Arabidopsis thaliana: one gene and its partner. Each later gene encodes a partner of the first gene's protein in a complex. Each region holds a gene or a part of one and is shown in the gene's direction. Other genes may lie near its edges.

The links.
Region 2: AT1G10390 (region 1) and AT2G41620 share a complex: the UniProt entries of both Arabidopsis thaliana proteins name them as parts of the nuclear pore complex.

What each region holds. Positions count from the first base shown.
Region 1 is NC_003070.9:3,411,181-3,414,936, reverse strand, and holds the start of AT1G10390 (Nucleoporin autopeptidase), read left to right. Parts: upstream 1-2,062; 5' UTR 2,063-2,194; coding exon of another isoform or gene 2,195-2,387; 5' UTR 2,388-2,404; coding exon of another isoform or gene 2,405-2,463; intron 2,464-2,833; 5' UTR 2,834-2,891; coding exon 2,892-2,910; intron 2,911-3,047; coding exon 3,048-3,341; intron 3,342-3,521; coding exon 3,522-3,756. Other genes in the region: AT1G10400 (UDP-Glycosyltransferase superfamily protein), read left to right, coding at 1-68; AT1G10395 (uncharacterized protein), read right to left, coding at 2,195-2,387, 2,405-2,463.
Region 2 is NC_003071.7:17,353,504-17,357,259, reverse strand, and holds the start of AT2G41620 (Nucleoporin interacting component (Nup93/Nic96-like) family protein), read left to right. Parts: upstream 1-2,156; 5' UTR 2,157-2,262; coding exon 2,263-2,364; intron 2,365-2,441; coding exon 2,442-2,533; intron 2,534-2,701; coding exon 2,702-2,768; intron 2,769-3,135; coding exon 3,136-3,195; intron 3,196-3,298; coding exon 3,299-3,388; intron 3,389-3,590; coding exon 3,591-3,756. Other genes in the region: TFIIB (transcription factor IIB), read left to right, coding at 1-212, 609-633, 742-871, 965-1,095, 1,232-1,320, 1,403-1,479, 1,572-1,705.

The sequences.
Region 1 (3,756 bases):
AAGGTATTGGTTCGTCTAGGAAGAATTTAGACAACCTTATCAACGAGTTTTGTAACAATGGAACATGATGATGTATGTTAACACCTATATATTAATACTAGATTTTAACCCGCGGTATATCGCGGGACGATTTATTTTTTAAAGTAATATATATTAAAATTTGCAAATTTTATTATTAATATTTATATTTTACAATTTAAAATTGTTATAAAGTAACGCTATACCATAAATCCATGAGACAATTGTTAAAAAACTGAAGTTTTAACCCCTATTAAAACAGCATATTAATAATATTTTAAAATTTTATAAATATTTATTCAAATACATCTACCATATAACCCAATTCCAAAATAAAACCTGTTCTGTAATTTTTTTACCCGTCCCGTGATTTTTTTTAAAGTAGTAGTTTTTAAAATTGAAGAATTATTTATTATATATAAAAGTTTTGCAAATTGTATCATTCTCTAATACATTTATATTTTATAGTTTAATTTTATATATAGTAACATTATACATACCACATAACATTTTTGGTTTTATATAATCTTTTCTAAATTAGGATGATTTGATATATTTAATATTAGTGGTCTAAAAAATAATAAATTAAAGATTTATTCCGTATTGAAACGGTGGATTAATTATATTTTACTTTTTTATTAATGTTGATTCAAAAACCCGTCCCTCCAAATCCGTCTTGCCAAACAGCCATTTATTTTATTAATATTAATTTTATTTATGATATGACTCTGAATTATAATATAAACATTTTAGCTAATAACATAGGAGTGCACCATATTTATTTAATAGGGGAATGTACCATATGACCTGAATGCACTTTTACCTAAATCTACCAAAAAAGTCTTGTAAAAATATTATAGAGATAAGAAACAATAGTCGGTTTTGATAGTATAAGATTAGCAAATATATTAGTTAGCTTAAATTATTTAAAGAATACAAATTGAAAAGGTATATTACACTTTATTCGAATATAATATCAAAACTTATATAACACAGAGATTATATAATTTTTTAATTGTTAAATACTTTTTTGTGCTAATTTTTATGTGATTAAGATTTAATTGATTTCGTATATAAAATATTAAATTGTTTTACGAACTTATTTGTTTATAATTTGGTAACAGAGAGATATTTGAATATTCAGTATATTTTGCTTTAGTTTAGGAAATCTTTGATGACCCGTCTTTAGATCCAATAAGCCATATAGGTAAGAGATGAATATTGTCTTTAAATGATTCTGGTAACCTTAATGACGTCAATAAAAAATTTTGTTTTTGGTTAAATTTTTCTAATGACATTATCATGTAATTAATTACAAAAATTAAAGTTACATTTAAAATGTACTTCCCAAATAATATAGCAGGATATATTTCAAAGTTGCTATCAGAAACATATATTTGAGCCTGTATTTCGAAACTTGTATAATGTTAAACTAATTTGAGCTTGGATTCGAATCCATGTTTCGAGCTTGGAGTTTTGTGATATGTCGTCAGGTTCAAAAAGTGCACTTATTAATATATATGGGCCTAATACAGGCCCAAAATATGGGTCTATTACAAACCAAAGCATTGTTGTAGTATTGAGACAAAATTAACGTTGGAAACAAAGCATTTTAAACTCTCTATTACAATGGTTGAAAGTAAATAAGCAAAATTTACTGTATTTCCTAAAAGTGAGACCATTTCCATCGGAGTATGTGAATGAGATACTTATCAATTAAATAATAATAAAAAAGAAAATAAATTAGAGAGAAAGAGAAAAAAGTGGATGAACGTTTTTCACAGGAGAAACGATTCTCAGCATTTATTGACAGTTGTCATTTAACCAGTGATTTATTTTCTTCGAACTGAAGCTGTAAATGATGACTAAAACCGCATCCAAAATCGCACCGCAACAGTGCTGTAACAGTATCAAAATCTTTACATATACATATGTATCTATGTATTTTCGTTATTATTTGAACTGCACCATTCGGAAAATATATTGATTGGATTAATTTTTTTTTTTTTGAGATACTTTCTATCACTTTTACCGTGAAGATGCCCTAAATTCAGCAATTAAACACGCAAGCAGGAAGAGAGAAGTCATCATATCATACCAACAAAAAGGGCCAATCGTTCGCTCTTTGCAAGTTGCAACCGTCGCGCTTTCGATTCCGGCGAAATTGCTCCATCTTCTAGTCGCTTTTCAGATCGAGCTCGTCGTTTTCAGGTTCCATTTCTCCTACATCTTCTTGCTCCACATTTGATTCCACGCCGCCTATTCGTTTCTCGGCGATTTCACTCCTGAACCCTAATTTCCTCCACGCAGATAATTTCGACGATCGGAGCTTCCGCTCTTGGTCTCTTGAGAGTCCTTTGATATCATATCTGATTGGTCGAAGAACGTGTGTCCTTGTTCTTCTCTTTTTGACATCGGATTCATAGGTATTTCTTCGAGTTTCATTTCGATTAGTTCCAGCTTTGATTTTATTGCTGGATTTGCTCAAGTTTTATATTCATTTTGCATATTCAATTTCTGAGTTCCCGATGATTTCTAGTTGTGATGTTGCTTAGTTCAATGGTTTTAGAGGTTCGTTAGGTTCCTCATCTCTCTTTCTCTCAGTCATACCTGCTTACAATACACTTTCTAGGTCCTTTGTCTACTACTCTCTGTAGCGCAGGAACCAACTTCTTAAGTTGATGTTGAATTCATAGTATAATTTACGGATGTTTATTGTGTTTGAATTTTTAAAACCAGCTTTTACCGGTATGGTGCTGCTTATGTGCATTTGGTTCTGTTGTTATCTTCTCCTAATCATTGTTCTTTTTTCCAGCTACAGGATAATATAATTTCTTTTGGCTTGGCCATCCGTTGTCAAACTACAGAGGAAGATGTTTGGCTCATCTAATCGTAAGTAATCCTATCTTATTCTTACTTGTTGGTTTCCGAAGCCAAATATTTCGTTATTGTTTTATAGTTTTATGCTATTTATTTCTTTTGTATATACTTCTAAAGAAAATTGACCTTCTGAAACATTGTTCTTATAGCTTTTGGACAGTCATCTGGTACCAGCCCATTTGGGTCTCAATCTTTGTTTGGTCAGACCAGCAATACAAGTAGTAATAATCCCTTTGCTCCAGCTACACCGTTTGGCACGTCTGCTCCTTTTGCTGCACAGTCGGGAAGTTCAATATTCGGAAGCACTTCAACCGGTGTTTTTGGTGCACCTCAAACATCCTCTCCCTTTGCCTCCACCCCAACTTTTGGAGCTTCTTCATCACCAGCATTTGGGAATTCTACTCCGGCCTTTGGAGCATCTCCAGCATCTTCACCTTTTGGTGGTAAGTACCTTTTATGGATTTCATTGCATGGTTTGTTAGTTGCCTCATTGATTTATTGCTTCTCCTGGGTATGAATATATTTTATGTCTTTGGTAGGACAAGGGTTTAAGAATAAGCCCTGTTTAACAGTTTTACATTTGCATTTGGTGATTAAGCTAATTTTATTTGTTTCCTTTTTAGGATCTTCTGGTTTTGGGCAGAAACCTTTGGGATTTTCAACGCCTCAGTCAAATCCTTTTGGAAACTCCACGCAGCAATCCCAACCTGCATTTGGAAACACCTCTTTTGGTTCGTCTACACCTTTTGGTGCCACTAACACGCCTGCCTTTGGCGCTCCAAGCACGCCTTCTTTTGGCGCCACAAGCACACCCTCGTTTGGTGCATCAAGCACGCCTGCCTTTGGTGCCACAAACAC
Region 2 (3,756 bases), on another chromosome or scaffold:
GCTAATGAATCTTCCAACAGCGATCCCAATCGTGTCGGTGGTCCAACCAACCCGCTTCTCGCTGATAGTGCTTTAACCACTGTTATCGCTAAGCCCAATGGTTCATCTGGTGATTTCTTGTCTTCTTCTCTCGGGAGGTGGCAGAATCGTAACTCCAATTCCGATCGTGGTTTGATTCAAGCTTTTAAAACCATTGCTACCATGTCTGAAAGGTAGTCCCCATTTTGAGATCTCACCTTCTCTGAGATTGGATTGCAACTTTATAAACAATTGAAACGTTTAGATCACACGATCCTTAATCCTATTGGAGATTGATTTTGTATGAACTTGCTTTGATTTATCATCACGCCTCTTGCATACGTTTGTGAAATTACATTGTCAATTAAAGAACAAAAGGAGCTTCCTTTTTAATCTTTCATTGAGAGTTTTCACTTTCCTTGTACTTTATGCGTTTAGCTCGTGATGTGTTAGTCTGTTCCTCAAAGGGATGAAGTTTCTGTTGGTTGTTTAGAGTGTTTGTTTACATTGCCAGATTTATGTTCTGCTGTGTATGTACATTATTATCCTTGTGATAATAGAGAACACTAACTTGTTGATATTTTTTCCAGGTTGGGACTTGTTGCAACTATCAAGGTAAACTTGTTCGTCTCTGCTAACTTAATATGTTTGTGGAATGTATATGTTAGGATGTGCTGTTGGAGCATTTCATTTACAGCTTTGGTGGATTTTCGTGATATGTAGGATCGGGCTAATGAGTTATATAAGAGGCTGGAGGATCAGAAGTCAAGCAGGGGAAGAAATCAGGATGCACTTTATGCAGCCTGTCTGTACATTGCTTGTCGCCAAGAGGACAAGCCACGAACTATTAAGGGTACATTTCAAAGATTTCTCATTTGAGAGAGTCTTGTTACCTCTTGATATAGCTTTGACATAAGTCAATCAAACTCGTGAACCTTGTGAATAGAAATATGCGTTATTGCCAATGGGGCGACAAAGAAGGAAATTGGCCGAGCAAAAGACTACATTGTTAAGACATTGGGACTGGAGCCTGGTCAGTCTGTGGATTTAGGAACTATACACGCTGGTGATTTCATGGTGAGTTTGTCTAAAACTAAAATTGTTGCTGATACCAGAACCTAGCTAGAGTGTGCTAATTATGTTATGAAACAGTTGATTATGCTGGCTGCATTGACTACGTGGTTTCATAACTCTGTATTTGATGAAATTGCAGAGAAGGTTCTGCTCCAACCTTGCAATGTCTAACCATGCGGTGAAAGCTGCTCAGGAAGCTGTGCAAAAATCTGAGGAATTTGATATAAGGTACATTTCAATTATTTCCCTCAGTTCGGGACGGAGATAAACACAGCAGAATCTTAAAGATGTTTATTTTGGGAAATTGCAGGAGGAGTCCTATATCAATAGCAGCAGTAGTCATCTATATCATAACCCAGCTGTCTGATGACAAGAAGACTCTCAAAGGTTCGGTTTTTTCATTCTTTCGGGTCTCATTTATTCTCATTGATTCGTTTTAAACAAAACATAGACTGATTAATATTTGGGGTGGGGTGCAGATATATCGCATGCGACAGGAGTAGCAGAAGGGACAATAAGGAATTCATACAAAGACTTGTATCCACATCTGTCAAAGATAGCACCAAGTTGGTATGCAAAGGAAGAGGATCTGAAAAACCTGTCAAGTCCTTGAAGTCGTTTCTTGATTCTTCTATATGCAATAGAGAACTATCTATATCTATAAATCTATATCGACTGAGGAAGATACAAAGCAATTGTTCTCTCTCTCTAGTAGAGCCTTTTGTTTCTTTTTCAAATCTTTTTTGAAGTCCTTTGCTTAAGATTCTTGTAATGGCGTTAAAAAACTTGAAGAAAGGAATATTATTATTGTTATAGTAAGATGGTAATTTTTTCATAATCTTATTCCCCCATACAATATTCGCAAAGCGGAAAAAAACTTTGTTCATGAAAAGAAAATGAGACAAAAATATGTTTGGATTTACAGAGCATTTTTGATGGCTTTTTAATTTGTCTTCATTGGTTGTCTAATTCTTAAAAATGGGCTAAATACAGTAAATAGCTATTTTTTCTTATCGAATTTAAAGAAATTCTATATATTAACAGAAAAGTATAATTAGTCGTAAAAGGTAATAACATAAAACAAAATAAATCAAAAAGGTTTGAATCCCGACGGAAACCCTCTCTTTGCTGCTTCCCCGACTGCGTAGTAGTAGCTCGAATCCAAAATCAATGGCGAACGACCAAGAGATGAGTGGTTGGACTGATCTTCTCCATTCTTCGTCGAAGCTTCTGGAGCAAGCTGCTCCTTCTTCTCAGTTTCCTCCTCTTCAGGTTCTTCCTCTTTCCGCTGGTTTTGAGGTTCATCGTTTAAGATTAGTTCGATTGATTTTTGTCTGTTTCACTATCAGAGAAATTTAGATCAGTTGGAAGCGTTATCGAAGAAGCTCAAGGCTAAAACCCTGAGGAACGAAGCTCCTTCTCAGTCTATTGCTGCCACTAGGTTAATCTCATTTTTACCGTCTCATTCACTTGTTATTGTGTTTTGTATGCGAACAAGAATTTGAAATGTCTTGAATTCATTGCTCAGCTTTCAAATGGGACGTAGCTACTACCCAAAAGCAAGCGTTAATTCTCTTGTCTTTCTTTTTTGTCGTTGGACATTTTGCAGACTACTCGCACGGGAGGGAATCAATGCAGAGCAACTAGCTCGTGATCTTAAATCTTTCGAGCTCAAGGTGACATTTTTCATCTTAGCTGTCTCTCCTTATAATGTGCTTCAAGGATTACTTTGTCTATTGGTGTGTTTTTCCTTGAGATAAGAAAGTACAATATGTGAGTAAGTAGTTTTCTTTTTACTTGTAGTGAAACAAATTTTTCATATGTCGTCAAACGAATCTACTTCTTTAGCTGTCTTAGCAAACAAATTCATGATCACTTGCTGTTGTCTGACTGTGTCTTTGGTCCGACTATTGGTATTGTAAGGCATTGGAGTCCCACCTTTGTATGCTTACACATCTCTCAGCTTGCTGTCTGCTATTCAAATGTGATTATTCTTTTTTGCCACTATGTGATGTTTTTATTTATTTTGAATACTCTTAAAAGACAACATTTGAGGATGTGTTCCCTGCTGAGGCGACGAGCGTTGAAGAATACCTGCAACAGGTACTTCTATTTCTCCAAGGTTTACTATATCTATCATCATATAGATTGATTTTCTTGGCGAGGATTGGTCGATATGATGTGTATTGTTATTGTTTTGTTTTAGGTTCATGAAATGGCTATGGTATCAGCTATTCAGGAAGCCCAAAAGGATAATGTTCGAAGCTTTAATGACTACATGATGAAAGTGTTGGAGGTTTGTATTCTGGCTATTTTTAATTTTAATTTAATGATAAGTCACTGTGATACAATTCTGCAATGTTGTTGTTTGTCAATTCTACATTTGTACTATGCTTTTATCTTTGTAAAGAGACTTTTCATGGATGTGGATGGTTTGCTAAGTGATATATTAGAAAGATATGGATGCTAAATATTGAATGTGAATTTTGACTTGACAGGAGGATTGGAGAAAAGAAAAACGTGACTTCCTTCAGAGCCTCAGCAGAATATCAATGCTACCTAAAACAAATATGATTGATACAAGCAGAGAGGCTCATGCTGGTCAACTAGTGCCGGTGGGTTCGAGTCCTCGAGTATCCTCAACTCCAGGCAAAGAACTCGTGG